3 linked regions of the Arabidopsis thaliana genome follow. The protein of the gene in region 1 interacts with the protein of each later gene in a biochemical or structural test. Each region holds a gene or a part of one and is shown on either strand. Other genes may lie near its edges. The genes, in order: PUB12, FLS2 and BAK1.

Evidence for each region.
Region 2: of the proteins of PUB12 (region 1) and FLS2, one has a biochemical effect on the other in vitro, tested with the Arabidopsis thaliana proteins (one study listed by BioGRID).
Region 3: of the proteins of PUB12 (region 1) and BAK1, one has a biochemical effect on the other in vitro, tested with the Arabidopsis thaliana proteins (one study listed by BioGRID).

Annotation. Positions count from the first base shown.
Region 1 is NC_003071.7:12,367,425-12,372,388, reverse strand, and holds PUB12 (armadillo/beta-catenin repeat protein), read left to right. Parts: upstream 1-1,968; 5' UTR 1,969-2,000; coding exon 2,001-2,054; intron 2,055-2,137; coding exon 2,138-2,254; intron 2,255-2,337; coding exon 2,338-2,787; intron 2,788-2,873; coding exon 2,874-4,001; 3' UTR 4,002-4,169; downstream 4,170-4,964. Other genes in the region: AT2G28815 (50S ribosomal protein L16), read left to right, coding at 4,325-4,513, 4,635-4,760, 4,828-4,964. UniProt on the Arabidopsis thaliana protein: Functions as an E3 ubiquitin ligase.
Region 2 is NC_003076.8:18,789,556-18,796,606, forward strand, and holds FLS2 (Leucine-rich receptor-like protein kinase family protein), read left to right. Parts: upstream 1-2,019; 5' UTR 2,020-2,246; coding exon 2,247-5,385; intron 5,386-5,469; coding exon 5,470-5,852; 3' UTR 5,853-6,353; downstream 6,354-7,051. Other genes in the region: RWA1 (O-acetyltransferase family protein), read right to left, coding at 6,806-6,961, 7,044-7,051.
Region 3 is NC_003075.7:16,085,508-16,092,762, forward strand, and holds BAK1 (BRI1-associated receptor kinase), read right to left. Parts: upstream 5,271-7,255; 5' UTR 4,782-5,270; coding exon 4,697-4,781; intron 4,428-4,696; coding exon 4,295-4,427; intron 4,213-4,294; coding exon 4,141-4,212; intron 3,972-4,140; coding exon 3,828-3,971; intron 3,701-3,827; coding exon 3,560-3,700; intron 3,109-3,559; coding exon 3,037-3,108; intron 2,931-3,036; coding exon 2,859-2,930; intron 2,784-2,858; coding exon 2,707-2,783; intron 2,595-2,706; coding exon 2,463-2,594; intron 2,386-2,462; coding exon 2,044-2,385; intron 1,947-2,043; coding exon 1,552-1,946; intron 1,471-1,551; coding exon 1,147-1,470; 3' UTR 804-1,146; downstream 1-803. Other genes in the region: AT4G33420 (Peroxidase superfamily protein), read left to right, coding at 1-129, 219-598; AT4G33440 (Pectin lyase-like superfamily protein), read left to right, coding at 6,513-6,935.

The sequences.
Region 1 (4,964 bases):
TAACTCAGATTCTATAACTTGCACGACTTAATTTCATATGACATCTCCTAAGGTTAAATCAAGTGACATAAGATTCCAAAAGATTCTTCCAACTATATATAATATTTAAGAATCCACTTGAGAAAACACTCAAGTGTGGATGGATGTTATATCAGAATTATCTAATGACAAGAGAAATTTAATTGGATTTGAATGATACAGTTGAAATTAAATATCAGCCAGGTATAACTTTTCAAATATCTAACATAATTTATGTTATAAGAGAGATCCTAATTGTAGACGTATTATGAATATTCAAATAAGACATCTTGAAAATACTAATCTAAAATATAAAAGTAGTCTCCACCTAACATGAATAAAATAATGGTCAAAAAGATATAAGAGCTATGCTTGTCCAATGGGAAGCATGATTAAGATGTGATTAAGATAACTAATTAGATGTTTAATTGGTAAGTTGCTTTCATGGGTTTGCTTATACGCAATTAGGTGGCTCACAATGAGATGAGAAAATTTCCAAATTAGCTGACATTTTGATTAGAGTTTGATTAGTCATTTAATTAACGACTAATGCCGTAAAATATACTTGTGTTGTTGGAGTACTGGCGAACAAGATCACAAGTTTTTTTCTTTTTTTTTTTCTTTTTAAAAAAAGGCAAAACATAAGTATCACAAGTTCAAATCATAACTCCTTGGTCTATCATCAAATCATTCTCACAACTCACAAGTTTCTCACTTTTCTCAAAAATTGAACGAGCCCATTTAGTTATGGCCCATTGGGCTTTTTTCTAGCCTTTTATCTCGTTTTGATTGGAGCTAGGATAGTCAAACCGTCGTTTGTCAACAAGAAATGTGAACCCATATCTCTTTCTAAGGAATAGTGGGAATATCTCTTACTGCAAAATCCAATTATGTATAAGCAAACATGCATATATTTACAATTTTGTTATTTCATCTTTCTTTGATTTTGTTTGTTTTCTACGTTTAATAAATTTACCATCTTCATTTGACCACAGATGATTTTATGATGTCTTGTATATTATGCCCAAACAAATTTTCCCTCAATATTGATACCAAACTATTGAAATTTTGATAATAAGTTACAAATCAAACATTAAGTAGTACATTCATAATCATAAATCTTAATTTTTATTGATGTTTCTTTGTTTTCTCAAATTATCTCTGAGAATTGAGTAAGCCAAAGAGCAAAACATGTTATTATCTAAACTCGTATAAATATATAGTAGCAACACAAAGATACATAGTTGTGAATCTCCATGTTCATATAGTCCAAATATTTGAAATATACCATACAAATTAGCTTGCTATACGTTAAAATAAAATCTGAATGTTTCAAACACAAATAAACTAAGCTAAAATACTGTTTTTTTTTCTTCTTTGGGATTAGTCTGGCATTAACCACTTAACTAAAAACAATCACCAATTTTTTTCCAAATTTGTTTCTTTTTTTGGTATTTATTGTTTGACCAGTTGACTCATTTTTTGGTATTTCTTGTTTGACCAGTTGACTATTTTATTTTCTTTGGGTTGAAAAAATACAACAACCCAATCCGACCCGAAATTATCGCAATTGATAATGTTGCTGACTTAGCCTAACCGATCTGAGCCGGTTTATGACTCATGACTAATCCATGACTCCTTCGTCTTCGTCTTCACACAGTTGTAGCTTTCATGCCTGAGTCAAAAACCTCGTGACCAAAAAAAAAAAACTGATTACTAGAATAACAGTTCCCTCTGCGTGTTTCCTAAACCAATACAAAAAATGGCGAAATCAGAGAAACACAAATTAGCTCAAACCTTAATCGATTCAATAAACGAGATCGCTTCAATTTCCGATTCCGTTACACCGATGAAGAAGCACTGCGCTAACCTCTCCCGGCGATTGTCGCTTCTTCTTCCTATGTTGGAAGAGATCAGAGACAATCAGGAATCATCTTCGGAAGTAGTGAATGCTTTGTTATCTGTTAAGCAATCGCTTCTTCATGCTAAGGATTTGCTTTCTTTCGTTAGCCATGTTAGCAAAATTTACCTGGTGTGTGAGTATTTCGATTCTAAACATACTTAGATCTGAGTGTAGTTGAAATCGAAATCGAAATATGAATCTGATTGATTCCTGTAGGTGTTGGAGAGAGATCAAGTGATGGTGAAATTTCAGAAAGTGACTTCTCTATTGGAACAAGCTTTAAGTATAATCCCTTATGAGAATCTGGAAATTTCAGATGAACTTAAAGAACAGGTACTACTAAAACCATTATCTGCTCTGCTTTTGTTCTTGTTCATGAAACTTCAGCTTTTCAGATTCATTTCTGGTTGTTGTAGGTGGAGCTTGTTTTAGTTCAGTTAAGAAGATCGTTAGGAAAACGCGGTGGCGATGTGTATGATGATGAGTTGTATAAGGATGTTCTATCTCTTTATAGTGGTAGAGGTAGTGTAATGGAGTCTGATATGGTTAGGAGAGTGGCGGAGAAGCTTCAGTTGATGACTATAACTGACCTTACGCAAGAGTCATTGGCTTTACTTGACATGGTTAGTTCTAGTGGTGGTGATGATCCTGGTGAAAGTTTTGAGAAGATGTCTATGGTTCTTAAGAAGATTAAGGACTTTGTGCAAACTTATAATCCTAACTTGGATGATGCTCCATTGAGACTGAAATCATCGCTTCCGAAGTCGCGAGATGATGATCGAGATATGCTAATTCCGCCTGAAGAGTTCCGTTGTCCAATATCTCTAGAATTGATGACTGATCCAGTTATTGTTTCTTCAGGGCAGGTACTGTAAAAGCATTATTCTCCCTTTACTTGTCTTTTTAATTCATTTTCAATTTTTTTGATTGGTGTCGTTGAAATCCTGTGTAGACTTATGAACGTGAGTGCATTAAGAAGTGGCTTGAAGGAGGACACTTGACGTGTCCAAAGACGCAAGAAACGCTGACAAGCGATATCATGACACCAAACTATGTTCTAAGAAGCCTTATAGCTCAATGGTGTGAGTCCAATGGCATCGAACCTCCAAAGCGTCCCAACATATCTCAACCGAGTAGTAAGGCCTCATCTTCGTCGTCAGCCCCTGATGATGAACATAACAAGATTGAAGAACTTCTACTTAAGCTCACATCGCAACAGCCTGAAGACCGAAGATCTGCTGCAGGAGAAATCCGTCTTCTAGCAAAACAAAACAATCATAACCGAGTCGCCATTGCTGCCTCAGGCGCGATCCCTCTTCTGGTGAATCTCCTCACGATATCTAATGACTCTCGGACTCAAGAACACGCTGTGACATCGATTCTTAACCTCTCGATATGTCAAGAGAACAAAGGGAAGATTGTTTATTCATCTGGAGCAGTTCCAGGTATTGTTCATGTGCTTCAGAAAGGTAGCATGGAAGCTAGAGAAAACGCAGCAGCTACACTTTTCAGCCTCTCGGTTATAGACGAGAACAAAGTGACAATAGGTGCCGCAGGAGCGATCCCGCCTCTTGTGACCTTGCTGAGCGAAGGATCACAGAGAGGCAAAAAAGACGCGGCAACTGCTCTGTTTAATCTCTGCATATTTCAAGGAAACAAAGGAAAAGCTGTGAGAGCCGGTTTAGTTCCCGTGCTAATGAGGTTACTAACAGAACCCGAAAGCGGAATGGTTGATGAATCACTCTCGATATTAGCCATACTATCGAGTCATCCGGACGGGAAATCAGAGGTTGGAGCCGCTGATGCAGTTCCAGTTCTGGTAGATTTTATAAGAAGCGGGTCACCGCGGAACAAAGAAAACTCAGCTGCGGTATTAGTGCACTTGTGTTCATGGAATCAGCAACATTTGATTGAAGCTCAGAAATTAGGGATTATGGATCTTTTAATAGAAATGGCTGAGAATGGTACTGACAGAGGAAAACGCAAAGCGGCACAGTTACTTAACCGCTTTAGCCGTTTTAACGACCAGCAGAAACAACACTCTGGTTTAGGTTTGGAAGATCAAATCTCCCTAATCTGAGAGTTTAGTGTTTAAGGTTTGCTTATACATTTTCACATTTTGCTCACTTTTTTTTCTTTATTAACCAAAAACTCACAAAAAAAACCAAGATTTTGAAACCTGTAAATCACTTTTGTCTGAAATTCACATTTTCTCGGATCTTAATTAAAAGTCACAATTACAAGACTAGTGTTTCTTTTTTTTTTATTAGAGTTTTAAAGAAAAGAAATCTTAAATATATAATTTCCTAATTTGGCCGTGGAGAAGAAGGCAAAATAAATGTACAAAAAAATGCATTTATCTTCAGCTTGAGCAGCAAGTTCTATAGATCTGAGAGCAGCAAGATGCAGAGATTCATGTTTAGCCGCGTCGTGGAACATCAACGTCAGATAAGCCGAGGATTTCTCAGTCTTGTACCATCTCTATCTCCCACTGCTGTTCCTGCTATGTCTCGTTTCTTTCCGAAGATTACTGCTTCTGATTCCACTTCCTCGATTCCCTTTTTTACTCCAGACTTCATCAATCCCAAGAAGGTGAGTGGTTCGACAATTCATTACCCTATTATGATTCATTTGTCGGATTCAATATTACCCTGAGAAGAAATTTTATCAATCTCTTTGTATAATGTTCATAAGTGTGACAATGAATGTGCAGACTCTTGAAGAGTCCCTTAACAACTTAGAAGGCCTAACATGTAACCAAGCCGAAAGAGAGATGTATCTCTTTCCACAGATTAATCAACAACGCCTTCTCAACACCACTGGTTCTCGCTTCGGACAGGTAAAAAAAAAAATTCACCATATGAAAAACTTTTTAACGTGTGTTTTTACATTCACTTTTGGTTTAGGTTCTTGGAACTTGGCAGTTCAGATGCACAATTCTTCCGGCGAGAGTGAATCGTGTGAGAGAGGTCCACGAGACTTCCAACAACGAAAAGAAACAACAAAAACAAAAAAGTTCCGTCAACGAAAAGAAACCAAAAAA
Region 2 (7,051 bases), on another chromosome or scaffold:
TACTGAATCTTGAACTATAAATTCGAATATAGAGAAAATATGAAATTTTGTAAGTGTTATTAGACATCCAAATTTTAAAACCGCGTAAACTACACTACAATTTAAAATCGGAGTATGTAACCTACATAGAGCCTAACCACCTCCTAAGCCGTATTTAATAACATTGTTATATTATGTAAAGATATGATATATATCGTTAAGTAATATTATGTAGTGAAAATCCGTCACAAATCATAATAACTTGTAGTGATCAAACTTCTTGTATATAATCTACTTTGTTCTCGCGAGCACCTTAATCAATCATCCCATTTAAAAAATTTCTTTTTGCTATTAACATCTTAAATGTTAAATCTATCATTGAGCAATGTAACAGTTCTGTGTGAAGAAACAAGGAATCACTTACTTCTACATTGTCTCTTTACAAAGGAAATTTGGCACATGATAATGCTTCGGTTTGGGCAATCTCCTTATATCTTTGCAGACTTGTCTATTACCATAGGTAATCATATAAAAGTTATTATATATGAACAATGTTCCTATGGTAATAGAAATTCACATTTTATTAAAAAAACTGATACGAATAATTCAAAGAAATAAAATAACTTTTATATGATTGTCCATAAGATATAGTCAAAACGCAAAAGACTTTGCTCTAAGAAATATTAAAAAGAAAAACAACAAGACGAGGATTATTTCTTTTCAATAATTAAAACATTAGTATAAATACAATCACATGCTTAATGTAATAATGTGACAGTTTGGCCGAGTGGTCTAAGGCGCCAGATTTAGGCTCTGGTCCGAAAGGGCGTGGGTTCAAATCCCACAGCTGTCAATTTGTTTTTTTCTTTGACTCCTTTGTTCATCTTTATTTTAAAATCAATATAAACCCTTTTCGGACATTCTAAATATTTTGACCCAACCTAATGATATTCATTATTTGTCTAACGGGTCAACTTTCAAGTCTTCAAGTAAACATGATATGGAATTATATGGGTCAACTCCAAGTAAGAACAGTGCATGCATCTTGAAGACAAAATTGATTTTTTTTTTTGTTTTTAATTAATGGAAATTTTGAAATACTAATGGGTCAAGATGAGGTTGTCCAAATCAACTGATATCATATATGACCAGATTCCTCAATAGTCATTAGTCAATACAAAATCCATAATCTTTTTTAAAAATATAATCTTTTTATTTTAAATCGCCTATTTTTTTCCATTCATTTGTCCAATGTGAAAAGCCATAAATCATATATTAAGAAGTTGTGAATTGTGATCATAGGAGTAATATTTCTATCTGAACAAAAATTGAATTTTGTTTTGCTTTTTGTTGAAAGATAAATAAAATGTTTGGCAGATTGTTTGTACAGAACACAACTTGTTGATAAAACAAATTCCATCAAGACAGCTAATGAGCTTTTGATAGTCAGAGCTTTGAAGACGTGTTAATGAATTAAACTGATTAGACCTAAAACCAAATATTTAGAAAGAAAAAAATATGATAATTGTTATGTTATTTAATCAATAGTCAAATACTATGTTGAGTACCAATCATTTCAGTTTCAACGATTGCTACTCTTTTGACCAATAACAAAAAGGTTTTTATTTTTCATTTCTCAAACTCCATTTTTGTTTGTTTTTAGCATAAAAACAGCTAGAATGTGAGTTTCATATGTATTATATACTATAAGAAATCATATAAATTAACGACTAGAACATATTGTTTTCATTCTAGTGGTATATCTGAGTTTGACTAGAACGTTTGGAGGCAGATTAAAGTGATTTCGCCTTGTCAAAACTACTTTGTATATGTTATCAATCAATCGCTCAAAACTAAATCGGAAAAAAACTACATAAATAAGATATGGAAAATGATACTAACACAAACTAGTAAGTAAGTAGTCACTACATATTCTGGTCCCATGAATATGGCTTACATAGTACATACATTGTGAGATTAAATGAATATGATATATAATACAAGCATATAAGCATGTGCATGACTATGAAGTGGGAATACATTTAGTGCCTTTATATGCAACTTGACAGAATTACCAATTATGTGAATAGTGAAACTTATATTGCGTCTTGGCCTTTTCACATCCGTGACATGATCCCTCAAATCTATATCTTCTTGCGGCATATGCTTATATATAAACATATGACTTCGTCTATAGATTTATATCCAGATAATTAATTCTCTCATAATATCTTCTCCACAATTTCAACTCTTCTAAAGTCTAAACCATGAAGTTACTCTCAAAGACCTTTTTGATATTAACTCTCACCTTCTTCTTCTTTGGCATTGCACTAGCGAAACAGAGCTTTGAACCAGAGATCGAAGCTTTGAAATCCTTCAAGAATGGTATTTCCAACGACCCTTTAGGAGTATTATCAGATTGGACCATCATCGGTTCGTTACGACACTGTAATTGGACCGGAATCACCTGCGATAGTACCGGACATGTAGTCTCGGTTTCCTTGCTGGAGAAGCAACTTGAAGGTGTTCTGTCTCCAGCCATAGCGAATCTCACCTATCTCCAGGTTCTTGATCTCACTTCAAATAGTTTTACCGGCAAAATACCGGCTGAAATAGGAAAGTTAACCGAGCTTAACCAGCTTATTCTGTACCTAAACTATTTCTCTGGTTCGATTCCTTCTGGAATCTGGGAGCTTAAGAATATTTTCTATCTTGATCTTAGAAATAATTTGTTGTCCGGTGATGTTCCTGAGGAAATCTGCAAAACCAGTTCTTTGGTATTGATTGGGTTTGATTACAACAACTTAACCGGGAAAATACCAGAATGCTTAGGAGATTTGGTTCATCTCCAAATGTTTGTAGCAGCTGGTAACCATTTAACTGGTTCGATTCCGGTATCAATTGGTACTCTGGCTAATTTAACGGATTTAGACCTGAGTGGTAACCAGTTAACCGGAAAAATACCGAGAGATTTTGGAAATCTCTTGAACTTACAGTCTCTCGTTTTAACTGAAAACTTGTTGGAAGGAGATATACCAGCTGAGATCGGAAACTGCTCGAGCTTGGTCCAACTTGAGCTTTACGATAACCAGTTAACCGGGAAAATACCAGCTGAATTAGGGAATTTGGTTCAGCTGCAAGCACTCCGGATATACAAGAACAAACTTACTTCTTCAATTCCATCTTCATTGTTCCGGTTAACTCAGTTAACCCATTTGGGGTTATCAGAAAACCATTTGGTTGGACCGATATCAGAAGAAATCGGTTTTCTTGAGTCACTTGAAGTCCTCACACTTCATTCCAACAACTTCACAGGAGAGTTTCCACAGTCCATCACAAACTTGAGGAACTTGACAGTCCTAACGGTGGGGTTCAATAATATTTCCGGTGAGCTCCCGGCGGATCTAGGGCTTCTTACAAACCTTCGGAACCTTTCAGCGCACGACAATCTTCTTACCGGACCAATACCTTCCAGCATAAGTAACTGCACCGGTCTTAAACTCCTGGACCTGTCTCACAACCAAATGACTGGCGAGATCCCGCGGGGTTTCGGAAGGATGAATCTTACGTTCATTTCTATTGGGAGGAATCATTTCACCGGTGAAATTCCAGATGATATCTTCAACTGTTCAAACTTGGAAACTCTTAGTGTGGCAGATAACAACTTAACAGGAACTCTCAAGCCATTAATTGGGAAGCTTCAAAAACTCAGGATTTTGCAAGTTTCATATAACTCTCTCACTGGACCGATTCCTCGAGAAATCGGGAATCTGAAAGATTTGAATATCTTGTACCTTCACTCTAATGGTTTCACAGGGAGAATCCCGAGAGAGATGTCGAATCTCACTCTCCTCCAGGGGCTAAGGATGTATTCAAATGATCTTGAAGGTCCAATTCCTGAAGAAATGTTTGATATGAAGCTACTCTCAGTTCTTGATCTTTCCAACAACAAATTCTCAGGTCAAATTCCTGCCTTGTTCTCCAAGCTTGAATCGCTTACCTACTTGAGTCTTCAAGGAAACAAATTCAACGGGTCTATCCCTGCAAGCCTTAAGTCGCTTTCGCTTCTCAACACATTCGATATCTCCGACAATCTTCTCACTGGAACCATCCCTGGAGAGCTGTTAGCTTCTTTGAAAAACATGCAGCTTTACCTCAACTTCTCAAACAACTTGTTGACTGGAACCATCCCAAAGGAGCTTGGAAAGCTTGAAATGGTTCAAGAAATCGACCTTTCAAACAATCTCTTTTCTGGGTCTATTCCAAGATCTTTACAGGCCTGCAAAAATGTGTTCACACTGGATTTTTCGCAGAACAATCTCTCGGGTCATATACCAGATGAAGTCTTCCAAGGCATGGATATGATCATAAGCTTGAACCTTTCAAGGAACAGTTTCTCTGGAGAAATCCCTCAGAGCTTCGGGAACATGACGCATTTGGTCTCCTTGGATCTCTCTAGTAACAATCTCACTGGTGAAATTCCAGAGAGTCTCGCCAATCTTTCGACTCTGAAACATCTCAAACTAGCTTCAAACAACCTCAAAGGCCATGTTCCTGAATCCGGGGTGTTCAAAAACATCAACGCCTCTGATCTAATGGGAAACACAGATCTCTGTGGTAGCAAGAAGCCTCTCAAGCCATGTACGATCAAGCAGAAGTCGAGCCACTTCTCGAAGAGAACCAGAGTCATCCTGATTATTCTTGGATCAGCCGCGGCTCTTCTTCTTGTCCTGCTTCTTGTTCTGATTCTAACCTGTTGCAAGAAAAAAGAAAAAAAGATTGAAAATTCATCAGAGTCCTCATTACCGGATTTGGATTCAGCTCTGAAACTGAAGAGATTTGAACCAAAAGAGTTGGAGCAAGCAACAGATTCATTCAACAGTGCCAACATCATTGGCTCAAGCAGCTTAAGCACAGTGTACAAAGGTCAGCTAGAAGATGGGACAGTGATTGCAGTAAAAGTATTGAATCTAAAGGAATTCTCTGCAGAATCAGACAAGTGGTTCTACACAGAAGCTAAAACATTGAGCCAACTAAAACATCGAAACCTGGTGAAGATCTTAGGGTTTGCGTGGGAAAGCGGCAAAACGAAAGCTTTAGTGCTTCCATTTATGGAGAATGGAAACTTGGAGGACACCATTCACGGCTCTGCAGCACCGATTGGGTCGCTTTTAGAAAAAATCGATCTTTGTGTTCATATCGCAAGCGGAATCGATTATCTTCATTCTGGATATGGTTTTCCCATCGTTCATTGTGATCTGAAGCCAGCTAATATACTCCTTGACAGTGACCGCGTTGCTCACGTAAGCGATTTTGGAACTGCTCGGATTCTAGGTTTCCGCGAAGATGGAAGCACCACAGCTTCAACATCAGCCTTCGAGGGTACAATTGGATACTTAGCTCCAGGTAAATTACTCACAACACTTAATTTTCAAAACCCTAATTATGCCATCGACTTACTTGAAATACACTCTTATTTTTCATGAACAGAGTTTGCTTATATGAGGAAAGTGACAACAAAAGCCGATGTATTCAGCTTCGGGATCATAATGATGGAGCTGATGACGAAACAGAGACCAACTTCGTTGAATGATGAAGATTCACAAGACATGACTTTGCGCCAATTGGTGGAGAAATCGATTGGAAATGGAAGAAAAGGGATGGTTAGGGTTCTTGATATGGAACTCGGGGACTCTATTGTTTCTCTGAAACAGGAAGAGGCTATTGAAGACTTTCTGAAGCTTTGTTTGTTCTGTACAAGCTCTAGACCTGAAGATCGACCTGATATGAACGAGATTCTTACACATCTGATGAAACTTAGAGGCAAAGCGAATTCATTTCGAGAAGATCGTAACGAGGATCGAGAAGTTTAGCAGCAAAGCTTTTTTGATGACATTTTTTCGACTTTGCCAAACTCTGTTACGAAGGTTGAATACTTTGGACGTAAAACGTTCTGATTTTGCTTTTCGTTATGTATTTCTGTTTTATATAAGGTTGAAATTTGGTTTTGATGAACTTTTTCATATACAAATGCATTAGGCTACACATGGATACTATAGTTTCTTATTGCAGGCAGATCAGGAATAAGGTTCGTCAAGTTTTTGTCATCATGATGGAGATGACGTTTGTCCCTTCCATTTAATCATGAAACAATACCACTGCTAGTATCGGACAATAGGCAATCTCACGACGGTTATCGAGAACACAGAAGATGACTCAAAGATCAATGCCACACAAGACAATTGTGTAGACTTGCCAAGTAATAGCTGTGAAAACTAGAGTCATTACATTTTCATCTCCCCGGGTAATGTTTTCCATTCTCGGCTAGCGAACCGCAGAAATTGCAAGACTAGACTGATAGAAAACCATGTCAGTGACTGTTGAGAATGAATTCTTCTTTAAAACTTTGCAATTTCATATAATTCTTTAACATCACTATACATTTTTGGACGAACTACATATTGTTTGCTTAATCCTTACAAAACAAAATCTAAAGAATATAGCACAAAAAATTGAAAACTTTAAATCGGAGACAATTACTTCGCTTTTGTATGGCAATAGAGAAAAGTAGTTGAGCGATGTTGGTCTATGCGGTTCTTGGTTCTGCCTTTGGTGAACGTCCTTTGAAGCTGAATGTGCACAAGAAAATGATCAACAAAACTAACTTGTCTTTTTACTTATTTTCCTTTGCTTTGATGCGACCACAATGAAGAAACACAAAGAACAAACACTTGTTTTTGCCTGTAAATGACAGAAATCAACAAAGTTTTCGTTAGATTTTTTATGAGTGGATGGCCAATGAGAATGATTTGGGGACTCACGGTTTCTAACGATGAATCTGAAGAAGAACGAATGAGAAGCAATAGAGTGGAAGAGCGATGGCAATCCCAGCTATGAAGTTAGAGAAGAGTCGCTTGTTGTCTTTTGTGGGTACGAAAACCGTCTTGAGTGTGTTGGTTAGTTCAAAGAGACGGTGAGATACCTGGCGAACAAGAACAAATAGAGATGTTTCAGAAAGCTTGCTAATAGAAAATACGGGGAGAGAAGAAGTTACGGTTTCTTACAAGGACGT
Region 3 (7,255 bases), on another chromosome or scaffold:
GGTTTGATGGTAAAAGATCAAAGATAGAAGATACAAGAAATCTACCTTCACCTTTTCTTAATGCCTCTCAACTCATTCAAACTTTTGGCCAACGTGGTTTCACTCCACAAGATGTTGTTGCTCTCTCTGGTCAGTTCTTTAAAGAACTAATATATGTGTATTGTGTGTGATAATCTAATTTGGTTTTAACTTAATAATTTGTGGGGATATATATATAGGAGCACATACCCTAGGAGTTGCACGATGCTCCTCCTTCAAGGCTAGACTTACCGTCCCAGACTCTTCATTAGACTCGACTTTTGCAAACACTCTCTCTAAAACATGCAGCGCGGGTGACAATGCAGAGCAACCCTTTGATGCTACGCGCAACGATTTCGACAATGCTTACTTCAATGCGCTTCAGATGAAATCAGGAGTCCTCTTTTCAGACCAAACTTTATTCAACACACCAAGGACCAGGAATCTTGTTAACGGCTATGCACTTAACCAAGCCAAGTTCTTCTTTGATTTCCAACAGGCCATGCGCAAGATGAGCAATCTTGATGTTAAACTTGGCTCTCAAGGTGAAGTCCGTCAAAATTGTCGGAGTATTAATTAGGCTAGACCACATCTACTTACGATTTTTGTATTTATAATAAGTTCTCTACTCTTGTTATATGAAGAATCATGAATCTTCTAGGCTACTATGTAAAAATTGTGTACTCTCGTAATATGCAGTTGTATACTTATTGCTTGTGTGGTTCAGATATCCATCAAAAAGTAATATACTTTGGTTGCATTTTCTTGTCCAATTGCTATTTAAAGGCAAAAGTCTCCTTTTCTTCTGAACAATCTCCGGATCTAGAAATCACATGATAACACAGAAACCGGTAAGAAAAGAAACCTGACGCACGGTGAAAAAGAATAATTGATGGGATACATATTTGTGAATCAAGTGCGCAACAATCCTCAAGTGGTGAGCTTAAGACATGTTTGGGTTTTAGCTTTCAACAACATTCAAATCCTTTTTCATCATATAACACTTACAAACCCAATCTGATCCTCATGTATTCACTTAAGAACCAATAATATGGAGCAGCAGAAGCTAAAACCCTCAATAAATACAGAGAAAAACAAAATACAGAAAAAACATTCGTGTTTCGAATCTTATCTTGGACCCGAGGGGTATTCGTTTTCGATCTGGGAAGTGGAATCGCCAATGATCCAGCCAGACACGGCTGGATGGTGGGTTGGGTAGTTGAAATCTTGTCTGAACATTTCCTCCTTTTGCCACTCTTCCCATCTCTCAGCTAAACCATCTCCTTCAAGCATTCTTACAACTTCAGACATTTTGGGTCTTTCCATTGGTGAACTCTGAGTGCAGAGTAAAGCCACTTGGATTAGCTGCTCCACTTCTTCGTCTTTGTAATTACCCTGAAGATCAACATCTACTAGTGCTTCCAATTTCTTCTCTTTTAACAACCCTTTCACCTGTCGAAATGAATAATTAACACAAATAGAGGTAACACAGATAATGAACTATACAAGTGGGAAACTCATATATGTATATACCCAGTCTAGTAACATGACATCATCATCATTCGCGAGGCGAGCAAGATCAAAAGCCCTTTGTCCAGTGATAAGCTCAAGAAGCATGACTCCATACCCAAAGACATCGGTTTTCTCTGATGATTTTCCAGTGGAAAGGTACTCAGGGGCTATATGACCAATTGTCCCACGCACTGCGGTTGTCACATGTGTGTCTTTGTAGTCCATGAGTTTTGCAAGTCCAAAATCCCCAACCACGGCTTCAAACTCTTCATCCAACAAAATATTTGCAGCTTTCACATCTCGATGAATAATCTTTGGGTCGCAATGATCATGTAAATACGCAAGCCCTCTTGCAGATCCCAACGCAATACGCTGTCTCTTTGGCCAATCAAGTGGTGGCTGGGACTCGGGACGTTCTAAGGAGAAAATAAAATATAAGATTACTACGGATAAAAAGGCAACCATTGGACGGAAATATTGCAGTCAAAGAAAAAGGCACAAGATGAGAGATACCTCTTAAACAGGAGGCAACACTTCCATTAGCCATGTAGGGATAAACAAGCAATCTTTCGGTTGGAGTCATGCAAAATCCACGAAGCCGAAGCAAGTTTCTGTGAACCGCCATACTAATCATCTCAACCTCTGTCTGGAACTGCAGTTCGCCACCTTGGGTGCGCTCCTCTTTTAGCCTTTTAACGGCCACTAAAGTACCATCAGCTAACCGTCCTTTATAAACTTTACCAAAACCACCTCTACCCAATATGTTCTTGTTGCTAAAATTATCCGAAGCAACTTGTAGTTCACGCAATGAAAACCTCTTCAGTTGTCCTAAATGAACTTCTGGGTCCTCTTCAGCTGCAAAAAGACGGTAATAAAAAAAAATCAGCAAGAGAAGTGTTAATGAGGAAACAGGTAAAGCAAGTTTAGCTAACCTGGTACATCAAAGAAGTGGTCCTGCGGCTTTTTCCTTCGCCACCAAGCTAGTGCAATGGCCGGAACAGCAAATAGAAGTGCAGCACCTGCAGCAACTCCTCCCGCAATCGCTCCAGTAATTCTATTACTCCCTGCAAGAATGAAATGAACAATCTCTTTCTTAATACTTAATGGATCTGCTTAAAATGTTTACTTATTCAGTTGAATAACATTTCAAAGACAAAGACATATACAAAAAAAAACCTGCAGGTGATGGCGGTGTAGGAGAGATAGGAGGCGGTGGAGATGCAGGAAGGGGAGTCAACTTGGTGTTGGCAAAACTGCAAAATTTCAAATAATTAATCAAACATTCTGACCTCTCCACCAAGATTTAAACTAGGAGCAGGATGCAAAACCTGATTGGAGTGAAAAGTGAAAAGGAACCATTAACAGGAATATCTCCGGTGAGAGGATTGTTTGAGAGATCCCTGCATTATAAGATGATATCATTTTCTGACTTAATGCCAAGATCGGCCAAACAATAATCAGAAACATGAACACAGAGGAATTTGAGAGAGATAAAGTTACACTCACAGAACTTGTAGCGTCAGGACAGCAGTCAAAGACCTTGGAATTTCTCCAGATAAGCTATTGTTATTAAGACGCCTAACCACCAATACAAAAAGAGAATGTCATGAATAAGTGGAAATACATTAACCAGTAATGAGTTTATAGTGAGAGCAAAAATACAAACTTTAAAAGACTTTCAAAAGTAGGGGTTGTTCTAAAATCTCATCCAACAGATATGAAGCTGATTGAAAAATCAAGTATATTTTCCTAATTAGCGCGACTTACTACTTTAGATGCGTTCACCCTCTAGATTTACAGAGCACTCACAAATTAATAAGTAACAATAGGGTTTAGCGCTTAAATTCTAAGGCAGAAGAATATTGTTATCTTTGATAGAATTTCATTCTTCCAGAACCAAATCGATTTCATACAAAATAAGCGAGTCAATAACTACCATTGAAGATCACAAAGGTGACACACGAGAACAACCAAAAAGACAGTCACCTGAATTCGGAACTTTGTGTTGTTCCAGTAAAATTAAGCGAACACAAGGATAGAGTTCTGATTCCTTTTACGAAAGCTCATAATTAAAATAGACCATATTATACAACATCCTAGTCTCCAAGAGAACACCTTTTCATCTAGTAAAATAACGTAGCATCTATTTGGCGACACTACTTTCTGACTCCTACAAATGTAACACGTTGCACGAATAGCTTTTACAGGAAGACAAACACGATCAAGGAAACTAAAGACAATAATTAGGCTGCTTATTAAAAACGTATTAAAAGAAGAGAGTAGAATATGGTGCATACAAGAAACGGAGTTTCTTAAGTCGGCCGAGAGTTGATGGAATAGGCCCGCTTAAATTGTTCAAGTAAAGATCCAAGCTCACCAATTCCGTCAGATTTCCAAGCTGTTCTGGGATTGTCCCAGTAATGTTATTGCTATAAAGCTCCCTGTCATTACCATTCTTTAATATTAATTTCACCATAAGATCGGAAAGATATATAACTAATAATCTATGATAATGCAAAATTATGCAGTTATTTGGAACATTGTAACATTTTTAACATCCCACATACACCAAAAGTTAAAAGACGGCCTTTTAAAGAAAAGATGACTTACAAGTACTGCAAGTTTGGAAGCTGACCAAGTTGCATTACGAGCTGTCCAGATAGATTTGCATTCCCAAGGTCACTGAGCAAAAATGAAGTTCAAGTAAATTCTCAGTAGATGCGAAAATCCGAATCATCTTGGCTAGATATAGAAAGAAACTTACACACGTGTAACACTATTGTCGCTATTGCAAGTAACATGAAACCATGTACATGGAGTAACAAGAGTAGCATCCCAACTTTGAAGCACCTTATTAGGGTCGGCTAAACTGTTTTTCAGTGCACTTAGAGCATCACCTACAATTAACCAAAGAAGAAGAAAAAATCAAACTTTGCAATCATCAAGTGTCACGAGGATACATAATCACTGGAATCAGTCGAAACAGATGTAACCCAAATATAACTCAAGTCAATACAGCAAAACAAGTAACAGATAAGTTAAAAATGCCTTCTTTAGGTGAGAACAAGCTCTCATAAGCCTATACTAATCAAAATACTCAACAAGGGAAACTAATTTAATTGGAAAGAATGAAAAATTGAAAGAGAATGAGAGAGAAAGGGGAAACCTTCGGCGTTGCCCGAGACTCTGAGAACCAAATCCAAAACGAGAATCAACCAAAAGAAGCAAGGGATCATTAATCTTCGTTCCATTTTATCCTCAAGAGATTAAAAACAAACCCTAGAACTATCCCTCATCAGAGAAAATCCATCATTGTTAAAACCCCTGATAAAAGGGATCTCGAATCCTTCGATTAAGCTACCACCCACACAAGGTAATACCAAGATGATGAAATTAGAAGCAGAATACGAGAAAAGCCCTCTCAACGCGTATCCACCCGTTGACTTAATTTGAAGAGAAAATCAAAATACCCAAATCGATTAATCGCGGAAACCAAAAAAGCAAAAAAAAAAGAAACTGAAGCTAGACTTTTCCGATTAGAAGGAACGCCGAGATCGCTGACCGTTGACTACTTAATGCTGAGAAGAGAGAAAACTGAGATAGAGAAAACGAAAGGAGGAAGAAGATATTTCCTGGAAATATACTAAAAAAGGGTCGAAACAAAGAGAGATGAGAGAGAGGAGAGAAACCAAGTTATCGCCGAGAGCAAGGAAGGAAGACGAATTTTAATTATTTTCTTTGCTTAAAGAAGGGATTTTACTGGGTTGAGTTGTTGTACTGTGAAAACTATATTAAAAAAATGACATTTAAGATTGAGAAAACGACAAAGAGGATGATGACGTGGACGAGCATTTTCAAAGCTTTTTTAGAGCTAGTCAAAGTCAAAGACGCACGACTTCATTCCGAATCATGTTTGTTATGTTCGCCCACCTTATCATCATCCATCATATGACATTAGATATAAACCATGATGGTCATGAACTCATGATAGTTGATAGTGAGTTATATACCATCATCATAATCCTAATTACCGGCCCAGCTCTATTTTTTCGGGCTTTTATTGTTTATTGGGCTTGGTCTTAATAGCAAGTTCGTTTATTCCAAAGATGAGCAAAAGCTTTTTTGATTTTTTTATTCTTTTTTAAAGATTATAGCTCTAAAAAATTACAATTCAATATTGAAAAATGTAAGCTGAATAATCCATCTGGTCCAATGAATTAAACAAAACAAAAAACATTATTGTATCATATATAATTTACTGGTTGATAGTTTAACTATTTATGCCATTTAATATTTTTAAAAGAACAAAAGTAATTTTGAGGAAAAATGAAATAAAAAACAAAAAACACAAACGGACAGAGTATATGTTGCCAGCAATAAAATACGGACATATACCTTAGTTTGGCATTAAAAAACAAAACAAAAACACAACAAACAACTCAGTACAGTAGGCTATTTAAAGGCCCATCAGATTAAGACTTGGAAGTCTGACGAGATTGTAACGCCTCACAATCCTTCCTACCCGTGAGTCCGTGACCGATTGTGTATCATCCATCTTCTTTCTTCTTCTTTCTTCTTCTTTCTTCTTCTTTTATATATAAACCAAAATATAATTCGTGAAGACTTTCACTTTCTCCTTGCCACTTTTTGACGATTCACATGCACCATCCAATATTTTAGTGCCCTTTTCACGACATATCTGTGTCTGTATCCAATTTTCTTATTTACTACTACTTTTTTCTATTTATATATACAAAAATAATCAAAGAGAGAGACGAATTTTCGAGGTAAGGTATCTATCGACTTTCTATCTTCCTCCACCTTTGTTTGTTGTCACCACCACACTACGCTAATCATTGCCACACACATGCATAATTCTCTCCAACCATCTAAAAGTCCCACTTTAGCATTCTTCTGTTTGTAATTTTATCTCAGAGCTTGCTTCATGGGCTTTTGAGTTTTCTCTCTGTTTCCAAAAAACAATGGAACCGGAGAAGAATCCGACCACAGTATTGAGTGCCATTACAAGACCTTCGTGGGCGTTTCTTCTCCTTGTTTTCACCGTCTTAGCGATTCTCTCTCTCCAAATCTCTTCCAATTCTTTTCTCCCTCTCTGGATCCCGACTTCTCAATATGACGACCCTGTTACCTGCTCCGGGTTTTTCAATCACGACCCGTTCCCTAACCGGATCGTTATGTCGATTACCGATTTCGGCGGTGTTGGAGACGGAAAGACGTCGAACACGGCCGCTTTCCGCCGCGCCGTAAGGCACCTTGAAGGTTTTGCGGCGGAGGGTGGGGCCCAGCTCAATGTCCCGGAGGGCACGTGGCTTTCTGGAAGCTTCAACCTCACCAGCAATTTCACGCTCTTTCTCGAACGCGGCGCTCTCATTTTGGGATCCAAGGTTATATCAAAGTTTTGAATTCTTTAACACATTGATAAAGTTTACTTTTTTTTTGCTTTGTTTGTTGTTGATTGGTTCTGAACAGTAGTAGTATTAAGAGAATTCAATTAGTTGTTGATTGCTCTGTGAGAATCCAAAATTTGGGTTTGTGATTGCTTTTTGATTTGTGGGTTCATAAAGTTTTGTTGGTAAACACTATATTCATTTCGCTAATCACGGTCAGTGGTTAAAATGGACCCACCATTGTTTGATACAGCAAAAAAGCTGTTATTTTTGAGTGGGGATAGTCTCTAGTAGTGCGAAATCTGGATTTGCATATC